4 linked regions of the Arabidopsis thaliana genome follow. The protein of the gene in region 3 interacts with the protein of the main gene of each other region in a pairwise test. Each region holds a gene or a part of one and is shown on either strand. Other genes may lie near its edges. The genes, in order: SK32, GSK1, AT3G60200 and LSU2.

Evidence for each region.
Region 1: the proteins of AT3G60200 (region 3) and SK32 interact in a two-hybrid assay, tested with the Arabidopsis thaliana proteins (one large-scale study listed by BioGRID).
Region 2: the proteins of AT3G60200 (region 3) and GSK1 interact in a two-hybrid assay, tested with the Arabidopsis thaliana proteins (one large-scale study listed by BioGRID).
Region 4: the proteins of AT3G60200 (region 3) and LSU2 interact in a two-hybrid assay, tested with the Arabidopsis thaliana proteins (one large-scale study listed by BioGRID).

Annotation. Positions count from the first base shown.
Region 1 is NC_003075.7:293,081-299,460, forward strand, and holds SK32 (shaggy-like protein kinase 32), read right to left. Parts: upstream 4,400-6,380; 5' UTR 3,923-4,399; coding exon 3,860-3,922; intron 3,582-3,859; coding exon 3,336-3,581; intron 3,257-3,335; coding exon 3,164-3,256; intron 3,020-3,163; coding exon 2,960-3,019; intron 2,872-2,959; coding exon 2,599-2,871; intron 2,471-2,598; coding exon 2,396-2,470; intron 2,310-2,395; coding exon 2,253-2,309; intron 2,173-2,252; coding exon 2,032-2,172; intron 1,908-2,031; coding exon 1,857-1,907; intron 1,777-1,856; coding exon 1,681-1,776; intron 1,602-1,680; coding exon 1,518-1,601; intron 1,413-1,517; coding exon 1,310-1,412; intron 1,113-1,309; coding exon 1,036-1,112; 3' UTR 508-1,035; downstream 1-507. Other genes in the region: BSK3 (BR-signaling kinase 3), read left to right, coding at 1-16.
Region 2 is NC_003070.9:1,945,026-1,951,390, forward strand, and holds GSK1 (GSK3/SHAGGY-like protein kinase 1), read left to right. Parts: upstream 1-1,720; 5' UTR 1,721-1,834; coding exon 1,835-1,939; intron 1,940-3,097; coding exon 3,098-3,190; intron 3,191-3,403; coding exon 3,404-3,463; intron 3,464-3,548; coding exon 3,549-3,821; intron 3,822-3,910; coding exon 3,911-3,985; intron 3,986-4,059; coding exon 4,060-4,116; intron 4,117-4,289; coding exon 4,290-4,430; intron 4,431-4,541; coding exon 4,542-4,592; intron 4,593-4,699; coding exon 4,700-4,795; intron 4,796-4,912; coding exon 4,913-4,996; intron 4,997-5,123; coding exon 5,124-5,225; intron 5,226-5,305; coding exon 5,306-5,392; 3' UTR 5,393-5,825; downstream 5,826-6,365. Other genes in the region: AT1G06380 (Ribosomal protein L1p/L10e family), read left to right, coding at 99-863; ARA-2 (Ras-related small GTP-binding family protein), read right to left, coding at 6,064-6,365. UniProt on the Arabidopsis thaliana protein: Phosphorylates BSK1, BSK3, BSK5, BSK6, BSK8 and BSK11 in vitro. May mediate extracellular signals to regulate transcription in differentiating cells.
Region 3 is NC_003074.8:22,247,184-22,251,098, forward strand, and holds AT3G60200 (uncharacterized protein), read left to right. Parts: upstream 1-1,708; 5' UTR 1,709-2,136; coding exon 2,137-3,054; 3' UTR 3,055-3,385; downstream 3,386-3,915. Other genes in the region: DL1E (DYNAMIN-like 1E), read right to left, coding at 1-81, 169-232, 322-468.
Region 4 is NC_003076.8:8,442,728-8,446,097, reverse strand, and holds LSU2 (response to low sulfur 2), read left to right. Parts: upstream 1-1,996; 5' UTR 1,997-2,341; coding exon 2,342-2,626; 3' UTR 2,627-2,819; downstream 2,820-3,370. UniProt on the Arabidopsis thaliana protein: May be involved in defense responses monitoring. Probably implicated into osmotic stress signaling.

The sequences.
Region 1 (6,380 bases), on a different chromosome or scaffold from region 3:
TCCCCGAGTGAAGTAAGATATATAGCATTTAAGATTTTTCTTGTTGGGAAAGATGAAAGAACATCTTACCAAGTAAAAGGGGTATGAATCTTTTGAGCACAATGATGGGAAAACACTCAAGAGCAATGCAAAACTATAGACCCTCTTCTTCTGGTTGTATGAGGTGTTTTGCCCTTCTTGTGCCTCTTTTTATGGGCATTGAATTGAAGGAGTCATTTCCTTTATTAGCTTTGAAATCCATTTCCTGAAACTTTATTGTACTAAAAAACCCATTATTGCAGAAACCAAAAGAGGGTTTTGTTTCTTTTGATCTATAGGTCACACAGACTAAACATGTATGAACTCTTGTCTTTTGACTAAAGAGATATTCGACAGTGAAAGGGGTTTTTGTGGTTAAATTCCAATAGTTGAGTAAATTATTCAAAATTTTAACCAAACACAAATTCGTGTCAAAGTTACAGGACTTTCGACTCCTACAGTATAGTTTAATTACTCGTCCGATTGTGAAGTTAGTTAACTCTTCATTCATCTTCCTCGCTTTTCAACTTTAATTAAACAACATGTGCATTTCAGTTAAATAGCTTACCTGGAATCTGTGCCAGTCCTGAGATACAATAGAAAAATGTCGTTAAGAGTTTATTTGTTCACCCAAAAACCATCTTAGAGAGGAACATGAAACGGAATCTTAGCTTGCAATATTAGGGCAAGGGAAAATGATCTTGATGGATTACAAACACATAAAAATGATACACCAAACATATAAGGGGGGTCAGATTTGTGGAAAAAAAAACAAAAAAATGAAAGTGAAGGTGAAAATAACAAGGATAGCAAATTGAGAGAAAAGCCAGTCAGAAGAAGAAGAAGAAGCTTCATGACCCCAGTTATTTCACACCTCATCAGGTCCCGGCGTACAGATTTCCAATCTCTCCTCCGGCGACAAAAGCTTGGAAGCAGAAGTGGTTCAAAATTGATGTACACACTGCAGTAAATAGAGGGAGAGAAAGAAAGCTGGATTTGGACACGCTATAAATGATCCTAAGAGCTACTTCCCGTTCCCTGGCAATGTGCTGGAATTAGACGCTGTCGCAGCTCTGTTGATGCACCCGCAAGTTCTGAATAGTCACATACAATGGCAACAAATCAATGTGACAGAACCAAATGTAGACCCAATCCGTCAAAACATTTCTTGTATTCTGCTGCAATTTCTACTCTTCACATATGATTGTGAAATCTAAACAAAGTCGGCTAATGATAACTTCACAGTTTTTGTAAGGATGAAGCTAAGGTAAAAGATAATATATGTACTGACCTTGGGCAGTGAAGTTAAACAATGGAGGCAGTGCTCTTCCATTTGGCAGTGAAACATTTGGATCCCGTAAGTCATCAAAGAAGGGGTGTGCACAAGCTTCCAACTTAACAAATGGAAAAAAAGTGTTTTGTAGAATTTGAGTTAGAAAATTCCAAATCAGCCAAGGAGATTATATAGTTTTGTGGTGTCCAGCAGGATTTAGTCTTACTGCAGTGCAACGAAGGTTTGGTGAGTACTGAAGGAGTCTTGAGACGAGGTCTACTGCTTCAGGTGGCATTCGCTTGTGGAAAATCTGAAGAGTTATATGCTACATTAAATTTCATTTGAACAAGCACACGCACCAAAGAGGCACCTGCGATTATTTAACAAACCTTGTGCCACGGGTGAGCTTTGATTTGAGGAAACTTGAACTCTGTGTAATTCGGATTCATACACCGTATTTCTTCTCTTGTAGGCGTCCCAAGAATCTGGTAGATGTACAGATGAGTAAACTAGTAAATTAAATATAGAAGAGAGATGAAGGAACACGAGGGATCAGGTTAAGTACCTTGATTATCTCCACCAGCTGATCAATGCCACTTTCCCCGGGAAACAGTGGCTACGGGTAGAAAATCAACAGTTGTTATCAGATTAAATGTTATTTCGAAGTAATAATGAAAACTGATCAATCAAAATAAAATGGTTCATCATAACCGAAACTCTACAATGTATAATATACTTACTTGACCAAGTAAAAGCTCTGCCATGACACAACCGCCGGACCACATGTCAATGGCATTGGTATACTCTGTCGCCCCAAATATAAGTTCTGGGGCCCTGTAGTACCGGGAGCATATATAGGATATGTTAGGTTCACCGGGTACCTGAGACGCAAAGGGTGTTAGCCATCATTATTCAAATGATAACTCATCTCCAAGAACTCATCAAAAAAAAATGAACATACCAACATCTTTGCGCTTCCAAAATCGCATATTTTTAATTGATGAGTTTGGGGATTAACCTATGAAAGCCACATCATAAGAGAATCAATGAATTATCCTTTCATACGTCTTACCAACCTTTAAGCAGAAATTATTCACACTATACCAGTAGATTTTGTGGCTTAATGTCACGGTGACACACCCCAACCACGCGATGTAAGTAGTTCAGCGCACGGCAAATCTGATATCCAACAAAGCAACAGAAATGACAAAATCAGCATAAGTGAAATTATAAATTTCCTATGTATTTGTAGCTTTATGCTACACAGATTACTAGAAACGAGTAACCGGAGAGCTAATAGAACTCACCTGATAAGTATAGAGCTGAACAAAGATAATTGGCATATGCTGATTCATTTTGGTATAGTGCTTCGATGCTCTGTATACAGTTTCGGGAACATACTCAAGGACAAGGTTGAGATACAGCTCATCCTTGTCAGTTGTTGAAAAGAAAGAATGCCTCAGCCGCACAACGTTGGGATGGTCTTGCAAACGCATGATCTGAAGTTCTCTGTTCTTGTATCTTTTATCCTGCAGAACCTTCTTAATTGCAACTTGTTCACCCGTTTCCAGGCACTTGGCCTATCCAAAAATCAGACAGAAAGTCAAATTCTGGGAACACAAATAGTTAAGGATTAGTTATGTTCCTGCTATAAGAATTTCCACCTACCTGGAACACTACTCCGAATGAGCCGGTTCCAACCACTCGCTGGGCCATGTATGAGATAGTCTGAAACAAGAAAGAAAGAGTAAATTAAAGATACACCCAACAGAAGTGAAAAGAGAAACAATCTTTTCATAAAAGAAATGACTATCATGATTAATAGCTTTTCTCAAACACAACGGCAATCAGAAAAAAAGTTAGTTGAATGACCTGCTTTGGCTTTCCATCTCTACCCCCAACTGTCGTCGTAATAACTTGTCCCGTTTCGGTCCCACTGCCGTTTACAACAGTTGTTTCCATATCCTTCACAAGCCAAATGAAGATGTGAGCAGTGGCTAATGGAGATCACGACGACGATATATACATTGATTAAGCAACTCACCTTATCCTCGCGGTTGGCATTTCGCTCGTCTCTAATCTTCATTTCGATCATAACATCGGGAAGCTGATCATCCACGGGTTTTTCCGATACAGCAGGCACATTTGACGTTCCAGCAACACTTTCTTGTGACAAAACGTCAGCTTTCATCTCAAAACAAGAACTATTTTGGTCAACCTGCATTGGATCAACACACAAGTTGTCGTTCTCTTGATCCAGCTTAGCTCTCTTCAACGCATAGTCCCCACCCTAAAACAAACACCAAAAACACGAAATTAGTCAGGTCAACATCAACATACTCATCCAAAATCAATGAAACAGCAGAGATAATCAAATTCATACAAAAACATAAGCATTTACTAGAATATCTAAAACTAAAGATCTCAAAAGCTTAAATTTGACTTGTAACATACTATAAACGACATCAATCCGTAATTTCTGGATGAGAATGAGAGAAAAATTTCAACAATCAGAAATATAAAATCAATCTGATCTTGAAACGAGAGACATTGAAAATGGATACTTACAGGATCCGAAGAAATGGAGGTCCGACCCGAAGCAATGCTCTTGAGACGACGCATCACGTTCATCTTCGCTTTATTCACCAACCAAACGAGGAACAACTCAGAAACCCTAAATCTCCGAAAAACTTCACCAACACAGCTTCATGCGGAGAATAAATGAATCAACAGATTCAGATATTTCAAATTCGAATAACTCCGAAAGCAAAACCAAAAATCTAAGTTTTTCGATTCTTCTTCAAACGAAAAATCTGGGGAAAGGAAGAATCTCCTTCGTTCTTCTTCGAGCTTCTTCGGTTTCTTCTTCTCTTTCTTCACGACCCAACCCAGGTGGAATCTTTCTCTCTCTCTCGTGGGCAAAGCCAATCATGCCAGCCTCGTTCTCTTTCTCTATCTCTCTCTACTCTTTTTTTGGTCAAACATTGACTCCTCACCGTTGATTTATCGCAGCAGCTCATCCGACGGGTTAGGATGAATCCGCCCGATTTCGACAAGCTGTGATTACTAAAGTACCCCTGTATTGTTTGTCTATTTACGTATCCCGGGATTAGGCAAAAGGATTTGGGGGTTTTGAATGATTGCATCTAAGCCCACGCGGAATATGCGGGCACTGTATTATTTTCATTTGACCATCTTTGACCACTTCCCTCTTTTTGCTCCTGCAACAGATAATTTTAGTAATTTCTTACTGTTTTTAGACATTTTTAATAATGTCTCTGTTCAAAATTTTAAACTATTAATTATCATCATCCTATGAGGTAATCTATAAACAATTCAAGTAATCTATTAGATTGAGAAACGAAGTAAAATAAAACATATATTGGTTAGTTTACTATCTGAGGAATGTTAATGAGGATGTGGTTATTACTGATTGAACCATTGTCTTATGGGAAAAGATGTCAATTAATCCCCCAACTTTCAAAAAATGGTCATTTTATACGTCAACTTCGTATGCTGCCGTTTAAAACATGAACTAAACGTTAACTAACTTTTAAAACATGATTATTCGTTAACCAGGCCAAAATAGACATGCCGTTATCAGTCATTAACGGAACTTCTAACTTCTGTTATCATCCGTTAACGACTTTATTAGTCAAGTTTTAAATTGTGGTCATTTTAAACATCGACTTTATATGTGGCCATTTTAAACATGAACTAAGAGTTAACTACCATTTAAAACATGAGAAATTCGTTGACCAAGCCAAAATAAACATGTTGTCATCATTCATTAAAAGAACTTATAACATTCATTATCACTTGTTAACGACTCTATTAGTATCCCTAAAATGACTTTGTTTTGAGAATAATCCAAAGAAAATCAGGATTGTTTTCTAAATGAAACTCCAGTTCCCCAAATCTATTTCTACAACCGCTCAAACAAGACGAACAATCTTATAATGAGTCTTCAATTTGCTTCCATGATTCCTTTTAAAATTTAAAACAAATATATAAACGAAAACACCTTTATTTGCTTCCAATTACTGGCACTGCGGTTATCTCTATATCAAACTATGTTCTTGGGTTCTGCTTAAAACTTTTTGATATGGAAATTTCATATGGAAAAAATCTTTATGTTCTTTCGATTATTCTCAAACGACGTTGTTTTGGATAGATTAGCAGTCATTAACGAGTTTCTAGGTTCTACTGATAAAGACATGTCTATTTTGGCCTGGTCAACGAATTTTTCATGTCTTAAATGGTAGTCAACGTTTACTTCATGTTTTAAATGGCCAAATAAGAAGTTGATGTTTAAAATGGCCACAATTTGAAACTTGACTAATAAAATTAACGGATGATAACGGACATTAGAAGTTCCGTTAATGACTGATAACGGCATGTCTATTTTAGTCTGGTCAACGAAAGATCATGTTTAAAAAATTAGTCAACCTTTAGTTCATGTTTTAAACGGCCACATACGAAGTTGATATATAAAATGACCATTTTTTGAAAGTTGGGGGATTAAATGACATTTTTCACTTGCCTTATGGGCTTATTAGTGCAGTATCAATCTAAAGTCTTTGCAAAATGAACGGATAAATAATGGCACATGATATTGTTGTAGGCCCAATTAATGTTATAAGATCTAGGAATCATTAGCCATAACGGGCCAGGGCTTTAAAATAAAGCCCACCACCGTACAGCTATTTAAATTCACTTGCTTACGTTTTTCTTTTCCTGTCTGCAACTTAAAAACAACATATTGAGAAAGAGAAAAGAACCAAACAAACAGAAGGGAGAAAACGACGGCGTAACGTCTGGTTCATCGCACCAGTCTGTCAAGGGAATGACGTGGCGCAACGAAAATGGCGGAATACGTAAGCCCCATATCATGCAAAGGAAGGAGACAAGGTATAGCATTAAATGAATGAATATGCCTGCAAAATACATTTAATGCTCCACGAGAGACAGCTTTTTTTTTTTTTTTAACTTGAAACGATACAGATCCCATCCAACATAACATCATCATCTCACAGTTCGCGTTTTCTAACCACAACACACCCCACGCGTGTGGCTTACTCGCGCTACA
Region 2 (6,365 bases), on a different chromosome or scaffold from region 3:
AAAAAAAAAGAAAAAAATCGTAAACCCTATAATTTTTGCTCAGAACCCTAATTCCGCAAACGTAACCTGTGTTCATTGCGCCGTCTTCTCACCGGAGAATGAGTACTACTACTACTACGGCTGCACTTCCGCAGCGACACCAGTCGAAGGTTGACCCGCAGAACGTTAACAGAGCCGTGAAGTCTCTGCTAAAATGGTGGGACTCCAAATCCAAGACCGAGAACTCTGAATCACTCGAGAACGACGGTTTCGTCTATCTAATCGTGACACTGAAGAGAATCCCTCAGTTGGATCGTACTAACCCCTTGATGATCCCTCTTCCTCATCCTCTCATCGATCTGGTCGCCGAAGATCCGCCGGAGCTCTGTTTGATCATCGACGACAAACACAAGAACAAAATCACAAAGGAAGCGGCTTTGAAGAAGATCGAAGCAGAGAAGATTCCAATCACCACAGTTATTAAAGTCTCCAAATTGAAATCCGATTTACGCAAATTAGAGGAGGAGAAGCGATTCGAGTTGTATTTCGCGGAGAGGAGGCTAATGCCGATGTTGCCGAAGCTGTTGGGGAAAGAGTTTGTTAAGAAGAATAAGACTCCGATTGCGATTAACTTAAGGCATGGTAGTTGGAAAGAGCAGATCGAAAAAGCTTGTGAATCAGCTTTGTTCTTCGTTGGTACAGGTACTTGCAGTGTTGTTAAAGTAGCGAAGTTGTCAATGGGAAGGAACGAGATTGCAGAGAATGTTGTAGCGGCCATGAATGGGATTGGTGATTTAGTTCCTGGTAGATGGAAGAATGTTAAATTGTTTCATCTCAAGTTACTTGAGAGCTTGGCATTGCCTGTTTATCAATCAGTTGCTTGATGAATTTGTTTAAAGAAGCTGATGGATGATCTGGTTCCAGTGAGTCACAAGTTTTGGTTTGTTTTCTTAGTGGAATTTGTGATGCTGTAATGTTTAAGATAATGCCTAGACTGAACAAAACTGTCTAGATTGATTAGAGTGAAACAGATGGTTTTAATACAAATTTCCATGAGTGGGTCTTTTGATTGATTTTACTGGTATCTTCTTTTGTTATGCAGATATATAGTCACATGAATTCTCTAAAAAAGATGGTTTTTGGTGATGTATTGGAAAGAATATTAGTTTTCCTACTCTATTGAATTACTCTCCACAAAGGTAGATTCCATTGATCTTTCTTTGTTTGACAATTGTTCTTGTTCGATATCACAGTAACGGTTATATATCTTTTCACTTTCCAATCCCTTTGACTCAGAGTCTTATTTTTGTATAGTTTACGTTCCCCACTACTGCTTGTTAATCTTACATTTTCGTAAACTAGTCTCATCGTCATTTTTTTTAGCCCTTTGCAACTTAAATTTTATCTTTGTATGAATGCTAACTGTAATTCTTTTGTTGGTTAGTGTAATGAAAAAGAATCTATCGTTAACTATTGTCTTACAAAGGCAACACTTCAGGCTAAAGGGACAAAGAAAAGTCTCTTTAAGTTAAGCTTAATATCTAAATTGGGAAATATGATTGGAGTATTCATTCATTTGATACCATTATTATTCAGTTAGAATATTTAATGGAGTTCTAACTCAACTTAGTAATTTAGTTATCATTAAATGCTAAGGAAGTGTTTATCAGAATTTTTCAGTGCTTTATCAATTAAAAAGTAGTTTTCTCATTGGACCGTTACATTCACGCGCTCTAGTCTTCCGTGGGTCCTCCATTGTCTTTGAACCATTTCTGAAATTTAGAAGCAAAGAGAGAGGAAAAATTAGACTTTACTCATTGTTCAGTGGTTGAGAGAGAAAAGAGTAAAAAAGCACATGGCCTCATTACCATTGGGGCCTCAGCCTCATGCTCTTGCTCCGCCGCTGCAGCTTCACGACGGCGACGCTTTGAAACGCCGTCCTGAATTGGATTCTGATAAGGTTTATTTCTCCCCGTCTCTTTGTTTTGTGTGTTACTGTTACCGTCTGTGTTTGGTAAACAGTGCATTTGAAATTATCGTTTGGTGGCTGTTCTAGATCTACTCCGATCTAGCTCCTACTTTCTTTGTTCTATGTCTTAGTTCAGTCGAATCGATCTATATTCTCGTGCTCTTGTGTTTGTTCGTCGCTTGTATTGATCTGAGCTCACCGGAGAGTTTTTTTGTTTCTTTCTCCGACGAGGCGTTTTGATAGGAGACTGTGATTTTTACTTCATTTGTATGCATGCAGTAGCTAGATTACTCTTGGTATCTCCCAGCTACTACTTCAACCTTCTCTACCGGAGATCTAAGTAGCAGTAATCTTCGAATCTTGTTGAAAAATTTAGTGTAAAATAATTTGAGATAGTTTCTTGCGCTTGGGAAACTTACATTTTCAGTAAACTAGGTTGAATATTTCCCCTTCATATTTGTTTTTGGATATTTCGATTGTTTGTTTCAACACTGTTCACTTTCAAGTACAACAATTTGCTTGTTTGGATATTATTTATTTCAACACTGTTCATTCTACAAAGTACAGTTTACTTGTAGATCTCTGAATTCACTCTCGGTAGGTTTCGGAGTATTCCTTTAGTTATGGTTTTCTTGGCCCATTGCTTCTCTGTCTCTGTCTCTCTCTCTTTTCTATTTGCCATCGACATTTATTCTGAATTTTGTCTTATGGCTTGTCCTTCACTCTGGCAGAACTTCTTCCATTGACTTGTATTTTGTATCTATGATTTTTTTTTTTGTTCTATATCTAATACCCATAAATTGTTTGACGTCTAAAATCACTACATTTTTGAACTTCTATCACCATTGTTTACCTCTGGTTAACCCATGCTTTACTTTATTTTTCTTATTCTTTCTGCATCTTGCTTGAGTGCTTCTATTGGCTTGACAACTGGTTAGTTGGTACATTTTATATGTGTTAGCTTCACGTTTTCAATATAAGTTAATTCCGACCACTTGTATAATAGCAATAACAGCATTCTCATACAGTCATACCTATCCTGAGGTTTGTTGAAATAATCGGATGCAGTAAATGCTTGCCATCTCTATTCCACCTTGTAGTTGATCAAAATAGTTTAATGTCTATACTAATATGTGAGGTGGATTGCAGGAAATGTCTGCAGCTGTTATTGAGGGAAATGACGCTGTTACTGGTCATATCATTTCCACTACTATTGGAGGCAAAAACGGCGAACCAAAGCAGGTTTGATGCTAATGTTTGCAAAATCTCTTAGATAACTAACTAGTAGTTAACACTTACGGTTATAGCACAGTACCATGTGTAAGGTTTCTGCGGGGTCTGGGTTATTCATTTCGCATCAAATGCTCCAGCAAGTGTTACTTTCCCATTAAAACCCTTTTTCAAGTCAAATTAATTCATCTCTCCCTTACATGATCTTCATTCTGTCCCCTACAGACCATTAGTTACATGGCTGAGCGGGTTGTTGGAACAGGTTCATTCGGGATTGTTTTTCAGGTATTTTGTGCTTCTCTGTACTAGCGGTTCCAGGACATAAATTCTCTTCTTTCTTTCTGATCAAGTCTGAAATTTACGATTTTAGGCGAAATGCTTGGAAACTGGAGAATCAGTAGCCATTAAAAAGGTCTTGCAAGATCGACGCTATAAAAACCGTGAGTTGCAACTAATGCGACCAATGGATCACCCAAATGTCATCTCCTTGAAGCACTGTTTCTTCTCTACAACGAGTAGAGATGAGCTCTTCCTCAACCTTGTTATGGAGTATGTACCTGAGACTTTATACCGGGTTTTGAGGCACTATACTAGTTCTAATCAGAGGATGCCAATTTTCTATGTCAAGCTTTACACATATCAAGTATGTACTGTTATTTGCAGTTAGTTCTCACAAATATTATAATTTATTAGAATTTACTCTGAAACTGATTTGAAATATCTATTGTGCAGATCTTTAGAGGTTTGGCTTACATCCATACTGTTCCCGGTGTTTGCCACAGAGATGTGAAACCACAAAATCTCTTGGTACGTTATCTAGCATGCCATGTGGTTTGTAATCTTGACTATTTCTGGATCTCACTTTCTGGTGCATACTGTAGGTTGATCCCTTGACCCATCAGGTTAAGCTGTGTGATTTTGGAAGTGCAAAAGTATTGGTAAGGGTGTTATCTTTTCATTATCTCACCTTTTTTGTGTGTTTTCGGCTTGGTTATGTATCTACGCATCTAGTTCACTGAGCTACCATATAAGTGTGAGTTATACCATTAAGTGCGAGCAGCATGTTCTCTGTTTTGGTAACCCTTTTAAATTTTTGGTAATTCACTATTAGGTCAAAGGTGAACCAAACATATCATATATCTGCTCCCGTTATTATCGTGCTCCAGAACTGATCTTTGGCGCCACAGAGTATACAGCATCCATAGATATATGGTCTGCTGGTTGTGTACTGGCAGAGCTTCTTCTGGGCCAGGTTAGTGTGGATTTTTATGCGTTAATTACCTTGTTAAATAAAGAGTCTCTGCAAAATGCAAAAAGTGCGCACCCAATGTTATATTAAGCCAGTCTCTCTCTCTCTCTACAGCCGTTATTTCCAGGAGAAAATTCAGTTGATCAGCTTGTGGAGATCATAAAGGTGAAGTCTCCTTTATTAGACTAATGGATGTGCTCTTTTTTGTCTTTGGTATTAGACTAGAATCTAGTAAATATGTTACCATAAGTACACTTGCTACCTTGTTTTAGGTTCTTGGTACTCCAACTCGTGAAGAAATTCGATGTATGAACCCGAACTACACAGATTTTAGGTTCCCACAAATCAAAGCTCACCCTTGGCACAAGGTAGTTCATCTCACCTTTTGTTCCTGGTTAAGCAATTACTGAACTCATTACCTACACAGTATACATTGAAGCGATTCATTTATAGCATCAACCATATACTGTACCCTTGACCTCCAGGTTTTTCATAAACGGATGCCTCCAGAAGCAATAGACCTTGCATCTCGGCTTCTTCAATATTCACCAAGTCTACGCTGCACTGCGGTCAGTATCTCCCTCTTTTTTTTATAATCGAAAGTAGTCGTCAGTGATAACTCTTTTTGAATCTTCCAAGTGTTGGATAAAGCTAAGATTCATTTTAACATTTGTCTTGTTCTCTGTCTATTTTTAGCTCGAAGCATGTGCTCATCCGTTTTTCAATGAACTCCGAGAGCCAAACGCCCGTCTTCCAAATGGTCGTCCATTACCGCCATTGTTCAATTTCAAACAAGAGGTAAAAATCAATAGCAAAGGATGATGTTTCTTTAGTGGAACTTCAACATAACCCAATTTGTTCTTTGGATGTGGAAACAGTTAGGTGGAGCTTCAATGGAGCTAATCAACAGGCTAATACCTGAGCATGTGAGACGACAAATGAGCACAGGATTACAAAACAGTTAAAAACTGTGCATGTCTGAAGAGAAAGAGGAGAAAAGCAGGTTTACTACTTTTATTTGATAGTTGACAGGTTCAACAGTATATTAACCACGACTATTATCAGCTTCTATACCCGTAGTAAAGTCATATTCAGCTTTTTGAGAAATCAGATGCTGATAATTGCGTTTTTTTTTTTTTTATTCCGTAGCCTGGAGAGTGGAGAGAGACACTGTTCCTCGTGTATTTTTGTATATGTTTTTGTCTGTAAAACAATTCTGACAGATACGTAGAGACAAAAGAAAAACGAGGTGATAATATTAAACCATGTCATGTCCAAAAGATTAGCTACAGATGTTTTTTTGTTTTCTTCTCTCAACACAAAAGACTAGAGGGATAAATAATCATCCTCTTAAATTAAAAGTCGCTAGATCTATTTTCGAAATGTTACGTAGGTGATGATTTGCATTTCTTCAGTTTATTACAAGTTTACAAATTACAAGTGGTGGGAGTGTTGAAAACAAATTACCAATCATGTACTTAAATTTTAAAGGACCTTACAGGCCAAAGTTACCAAAGCATACACATGATCTTAAAAGTAATCGTTTCTTATTTCTTTTTTGATTGCAAGACCCAAAGAGATTATCATTTGTTGTCTCACCCTAACCAAATCAAGCCAAATCTACAATCCCCCCACTCTAGTTAGAGCAGCAACCCATTCTCTTAAGAACCGATCCGTCTTCTTTAACGTTTATCGTCTCTCCTTTTCCCGGTAAATCAGCCGACTCTCCTCCTCCATCAACACTTCTTTTGCTCACTATCTTGTGGATCTGAGTGAGCACTTCCGTGAATGCGTTTTCAACATTGGTTGCGTCTAGAGCTGAAGTCTCCATGAAATAGAGGGATTCTCTCTCAGCAAAGGCTTTAGCCTCTTCTGTTTTGACTGCCACCAAGTGACGCAGATCGCACTTGTTCCCTATAAGCATCACCACTATGTTTG
Region 3 (3,915 bases):
GATGAAGGAACTCTGCATACTCCTCTGTTCCATCATCAGTCTTATGAAGCTGCAACACTAAAGGCCGTCTCGTAACGATACCTGCACAAACAATACTTCTTCCTCAAAACCAAAGCTCCTCCTTGCTTTATATACAAACATAAGAGAAAAGGGAAAATTTTCACAAACCAGATCCTCTAGGAAGAAAATCTCTCCCAACTATACTCTCAAGAACCGAAGATTTCCCAGAACTCTGCACAAACCCAAAAAAAAAGTAAGTTGAAGAGTCACCAGAGAGAAAACCTAGGAAGAAGTCAAAGATATTTCAACCGGAGAAATCACCTGACCACCGACGACGGCGACGGTTGGAAGAGCTTCCCAGAGAGAATTGAAAGCGTTACTTCCAGTTCCACCACCATAGTCACCGAGTACGGTACATGCTCTCTGTATCCTATTAACTAACCCAATCAAACTCTCCATAGTCGTCATCTTCCTTCTCCTTCAGTTTCAGATGAGAGAATATAAAGTTCCAAAGACGAAATTTTCAGTTCAGAATTAGAAAGCTGCTTGAAAATTCGCCAACAGACCAAAGACTTCAAGAGCTGAGAGAGAGAGACGAAGAAGAAAAATATTCGTAGGGGCAAAATAGGAAAATGAATTTAGAGAATAAATGTCTCTCTTTGATTTCTAGAAGGTTTGATTTGTGTGCCTGTGGCTGTGTGGTTCGGTCGGTTTACAGATAGCTTAGCCGCCGTTAAGGAGTCGTCTGGCTCTGGTTCGTTTTGGTTCGGTACGGTCTGGTTCTTACTTTTCTAGACGGTCAAATCTAAAATAATGAAGATAAGATTTGTGTCCCTTTAATTTGAGATATTTGTAACCTGTTTGAATTTTCGAATTTTGAAATTCCACATGGACCCCTCACACAAATACAAAATAATAAGTCTAGAAACAACAATCAACATTGTTTAGAAGGCCCAATAGATATAGAAGACTTTTAAAAGGACCCAATAATAAAGTTAGGTCCAGGAAGAGGGTAGGAGGCTATATGTATACAAGCGGTTCTCTAGTTTTTATGGGTTTTGTGTTATCCAGTCTGAATTATTTTAGATTTTATTTTAGAAATCACAAACATAAAATAATATTTCTAGAAAATTTTGAATTTCTTAGTACTTGGTAAATAATGAATCATTCTTCACAATAAACATAGACATAAACACAAAAACAATGAGTTTCTCTCAACATCATGATTTAGTTATCAACCAAACCAAACTAAATGACTGAAATAACCAAACTAACATAACATATTCAAACTAAGAAGAAGCAAAAACTAAGTATAGGTTGTCGTTATTTATTACATCATTGATTATCACATGACAGGCCCAATAGACAAGGAGACTTTAGGAAGGCTTTAAAAGCCCAATAATGAAGTTAAGGCCTATTGATGAAATATGAAAACCACGTGGCAATATGTAGAAGAAACGGACGAACATTCGTGTGAGATATGTGGAAAACGACGATGGCTCGTCTTCACCTAATACTTGTCGGCTTTTACCATCCAACGTCACATGCTTCTCTTTTAGGTTTTTTATTTATTTATACAGTTATATCATTGTTTCAAGTCAGTGGCTGAGGTAATCACTACACATCCCATTCAAATCCAATGGTATTGGTCCGTATATTGAATTAAAGAAAGGTCAACCATAACTAGATTTTATCTTCTACAACTATGAAACTATAATGGCGCGTTAGATCAATTTTTTGTAAGTTGGCAAAATTACGAACCAAAAATTGCAATTGAATCACTAACCATCGCATAATTAAATTTTGCATTAAAGAAATGGTTAGTGATAAAATGATCTGTCAAAATGTTGTGCTTACAAATCTCCATTAGATAAATAAATTAGTTTCTCTCTCTCATCTATCTTTTTTTTTGGTTTTCCGACATAGAATGCTATCTCTCTCTCTCTAAGCCTATCTCAAAACAGAGATCTTAGGAGAAGAAGACAAAATCTTTACCACCAGATCTTTTCTTCTTCCTTCATCTTTACAGGTTGTCACATCACTATAACCACCGAAACTCTCGGCCCAACCCAAAAAAAAAAAAGCTTCCTTTCGAAAAAAATCAAAGCTTTTTCTTTTATCTTCAATTCTCCTCCGATGAGGTGTAAAAGACACACCGTCGATCTCAGCAGCAGCAACGGCGTTTGCGCTTCTTGCCTCCGTGAACGTCTCCTCTCTCTCGCCGCTTCCGCCGCCGTATCAGCCGCCGTAGAAGATAATCAATCAAAGAAATCTAATAACAATAATCATCCTCCGCTTTTGATTTTCCCTCGCTCTGTTTCTCCTTACGTTACCCGTAGAAAATCCGACGCCGGAGCCGGTGGAGGAGATCCTTTAGTTTCTTCTAATCGGAGATTCATTACCACGCCACAGATAGATCTCGTCGGATATTCATGCAAAGATTTCGAATCGAATCGATCAAATAAATCAAAACAAGGTAAAAAAGTATCTAGATTCTCGAATCTATTCAGAGCTAGATCTGAAGATTTCGATACCAATCCCAAATCCAACAATCCTAGATTCTCCTCATGCGACGCGTCTGAGATTTCATCTTCTTCTTCCTCTTCACGTTCATGGATCTCGACGATTCTCTCCACCGGTCGACGTAAAAAGCAACCAACCACCGCGTGTTACATCGAAGACGTTATCGCTGCGCGTAGACCTCAACGTATATACTGTAGAGGAATGTCACCTGTAAGAGATACGGAACCGGAGCAGTCGGCGGAATCAATCGAGGAATTGAGGAGAACTCCGGCGACGAAAACTCCGGGAAGGAGGAAGATTGCGATGGGGATAGGGAAGAGCATGTCGGGGATGGCTTTTTGTTTGAGTCCGTTGGTGAGAGCTAGTCCTAACTGTCCGTTTAAACGGAAAATGAGATTTCCATCGGAGTTTGGTAATTCTGGGGAGGTAACGGCGGTGCCGGAAAAGCCTCATATATCAGCAGCGGCGTCGTTTTGTGCAAATAGATCGAAGAAGCTTGTGGATTTAGGTAGAGTTGATCGCCGCCGTTGAGTTTTTTTATTTTGGTGGGATTAGTCTTTGGTCAACGTGTTTGACTATTGGATAGTAAACTACGGCTTTCTGAAGATGGATTTTGCCAAAATCAAGCTTTTTATATGGCTTGTGGTGAATAATCTCTATGGGAAATAGCTCAAACAATACTTTTGTTATAAAAAATTGTAATGTTTTCTGATTGTAATTGTAGAGTTTGAATGGCCAAATATATTGTTCTTAGGAGATTAAGAGAAATAATGTAGTGTGTTCTTGTTTTTTTACTTATGAGAATTACTTACCGATTATTAGGACAAGAAATCAAGATAAAACCGGATCGATTGATTGGTAGAACCGTGGAACCTGATCAAACCGGATCTAAATTCCAAAAAAATTGGACAAAATCAGTATGGGTTCGTATAGCGGTAAGATCCTATATGAACCGTGCCAATAATACCGAATCAGGTTAGTCAATCTATATGTGCTGAAGTATTAATTCAAATGTATTATGTCATATAGTCAAAGACTCAAATGTCATTACACTAAGCATTACGGTTTTGAGTAGTAGTAGTAGTAATGCGGGTGCTTAGATTTTGAAATTTGACCCATGAATTTCTGGCTATAAATAATAAGAGTGCGACAGTTTTGACTTATTTTTTGTCATCACCTTGGAAAAGTTTATCTTGGGTTTCACAGTCCTTCTTCTCTAGTCCACTTCAACACATAGACCTACAAAGCTATATTGGAATCGCTTATGACACAAGTATCAAAATATCTTTTATCGACTTTTAATAAAAATCCAAGTACGACATAGAGTGCTTTCAATTCAACTTTATAAAAGTTGTCTAATAACTCGAAAGAGTTTAAATGAAGAGGGTCCAC
Region 4 (3,370 bases), on a different chromosome or scaffold from region 3:
TTTTAACATCCGTACTTTTTATGGTGATCTTGTAATGTTATAAAAACTGGAAATTATTTTCTACATGTATAGCGCTGTTGCTCACGTAACATATATAGTTGCTGATGTAATTGGGTGTTTTAAAATCTATTTAGGATATTTTGGATGAATGATGATTATTTTTTTAGTCAATTAGATAGTGGTCACTGATCAGCATCCATAGAGCATATTCCAACTAAAGATTTCAACAGTTGGTGACCGGTCCCTCTGTGTTTTCCAATATATTTAACACAACTTTACATAATTTTATAACCAATATTGTTTAAGATTTTGAATTATAGCTAAAAAGAGAGAAAAAAACAATATTGATTCGGGCCATCAATTTTTTTGGACCAACCTTTGCTAGGAAAACGAAGATACACATCATAAGGTGACGTATAGAACAAAACGAACAGACAAATAAAGCATAACAGATGTAGTTTGTAAAGAATAAATGGTGTAGAACGAATAGAACAAAAGCTGAATAGATATCTTAATTAGTTTGGTGCGAGTAACGGATAAATGAGTTATCAAATTTTGACTAATGTTTTGAAGTTTCGAAATATATATATGATTGTATTAATCGGTATTTAACGCTTATGATTTTTCAGTTTATACTTGAATCACCCTACTTCTTGAGGTTGGTGTGTTGTCCAAATATGATTCACAAAAACATGACCAAGAGTAAAATCAAACCGCACCGTATTATTTTATTATGCTTCATGACACCATTCATAACCAAAGTCTTCTTAGTTTTCCCCATACACACCAATAAAGATACTAAAGAAATAGCTAATAAGTAATTTAAGAACTATGAATCGTAGCCGTAACTTTAACTATACAAGAATAGCTGTATAATCGTGACAGCCCTTGACTTTGGGAGATATTGTCCAATACTCCAGTTAAGAGAAAGAAGTGGGAATGTGGGTTACATCGACAAAGGCTTTGCTCCAAGTTAATTAATGGCTATAATTGGCGGAATATATTAGTGGAAAATATAAAGGTGAGAAAATGATTTCTACATGCCTTTTAGCAATTAAGAGAAATAGTGGAAAACAATTATTTTCTCTATATTCTATGAAATAGCAAAACAGAAAAGAAAGAAAAAAGAAAAAAAAGAAGTTCCCCTTTGAAATAAGTGGGGTTTCATTGAAAATTCAAATAGTACTACTCTTTCATTCTTTTAGTGTCCAGTCAACGTTCTCGAGAAGAAAATATATTCAACGATTAGTTTGTTGTTACATGAGTTTATTGAATTAAGTTTTTAGAATGAATATATAAAATCTTGAAAATTGGATGCTTCAGAAGCAATTTTCAGAAATTTTGTTCAATTCATGGTAATAAAATGTTCAATTAATTAAAGTCATTTTTCAAGTGCAAGAATGGTAATGTTAGCATAATACAGCGGATATATATATCCTCTTTGAGGATAAAGAGTTGGTGGATATAAATATAACTCATGTTATTTCAATAATAGTCACAATCTTTTCTTTACATGCGTATATGAAAACATATTTGCACAACTTATTCCTGAGTTTAGGACCATTATTAAGACGATGTATTATTATGATCTATTAACATATAGTTGTCTTTGATGAAATTGACAGCTCATTGGGGCTATAATGTAAGAATTGTTCATTACTTTTACTTACGAGCTACAGTTTAGACTTGTATAAATAGATTGAATTACTAGTATTTATGGTCCAGTAAATATGAAATATTCATTACTTTATATGTATAGCAATTAGATCAAAGTAAAATGGTCCAAAATATGTTTTAATCCACTTTATTCAATTAGACAAAGAAATTTATTCATTCTTAGAAAGCAAATACTCCATTTTAAAAAAAAAATATCAGTTTAAACAAATATTTTTCATTTTAAATCCGTTGCCATATGTATTATTGAAATGACAAGAGTTATTATGACTGAACCAATACATTTTACTATATTGATTGATAAATTTTTATTATAACTTATCTCGTGTCTCCTCTAAAAACAAATTTGTCTCTAACCAATAAAACAATTATATGGTACCACTAAAATATTCCAAAATATTAATTGGACCCAACGTGTATATCGAAAATAATTTAAAAGAGAAAATGTTCTAGAATCTAGAGGAAGAAAATAACTCACCAGAAATAAGAAAGAAGAAGAAGAGATATAGATACATTGAACCTAGACATAAAACCCACCCAAACCCCAGTCTCAAAGACGCCTATTAATAAGGAACGTTCAAGAACCAAAACAAAACACAAAAAAACTCAAAGTGACCAAAATAACCAAAAGGAGAAATCTTTAGAAAACCTTTAAAAGTTCTTAAAAATGGGGAAAGGAGGAAACTATGTGACGGTGGCGGCTTCCGAAGTGGACGAGCTACGACGGAAGAACGGAGAGATGGAGAAAGCTGTGGAGGAGATGAAGAAAGAGATGTTGCAGTTGTGGCGGCGGACACAGGTGGCGGAAGAAGCGGAGGAGCGTCTCTGCTCACAGCTAGCCGAGCTTGAAGCAGAATCTTTAGACCAGGCTCGTGATTACCACTCTCGTATCATCTTTCTCATGAACGAGCTCTCTCGTCTTTCTTCAGACTCTGCCTCTGCCTCTCCGTAGAATTAGATAGATATTTGCTTTTAAAGAAAGATAGGTTTTTTAGATTGTTTGATGTATCCTCTTATCGGCTCATATCAATGCCAATATGTAGAGTTGTCTTTAAAACAAATATGGAAGTTTCAATCAAAAAAAAAAATCGATGTTGTTACCGATTGATTTTTGCGATTAATGATGAATGAAAAGTCTTGAAAACAATTTAAAGTAAATGATATTCGATGTTTGGTTTGACTAAAATGGAATTTTGTTTGTAAGACGTGTAAATTACTTTAACAGAAAGAAAATTTAAAGCAATTATGGTCATGTTTCCTATTATTATATGTGAAATGACCAAATTACAAATAAAGATTTTGCTTTTAGATTTTTGCGTATTATATGAAGAAGTGTTTGAATTCTACTGAATCATTGACATTGCAACAGTGGTTTTGGTCTTTCTAGAGTTTGACATAGTAAAATTGGAGAACTTGGTTTGCTTTTGGGAGAAAAAAGGGAAACGAATATACGGATCCAACGCCAGTGTACTATGTACAAATATAAACAAAGGGTTTGTTTTTGAACAAATCTAGTTTCTGACAGAACCAGGTGACCTGACGTGGGCAAACAAGTCTAGTCTTTTTTTTTTGTTAACCAAAACCCTTTAATTTTTCATAAATTGTGATGCAATTAAAACAAACAAATATTTATAATGTTTTTTTTTTTGAAGTATAACTAGAATTGTCTTTGGAGAGACTTGGAAACTGATGATCC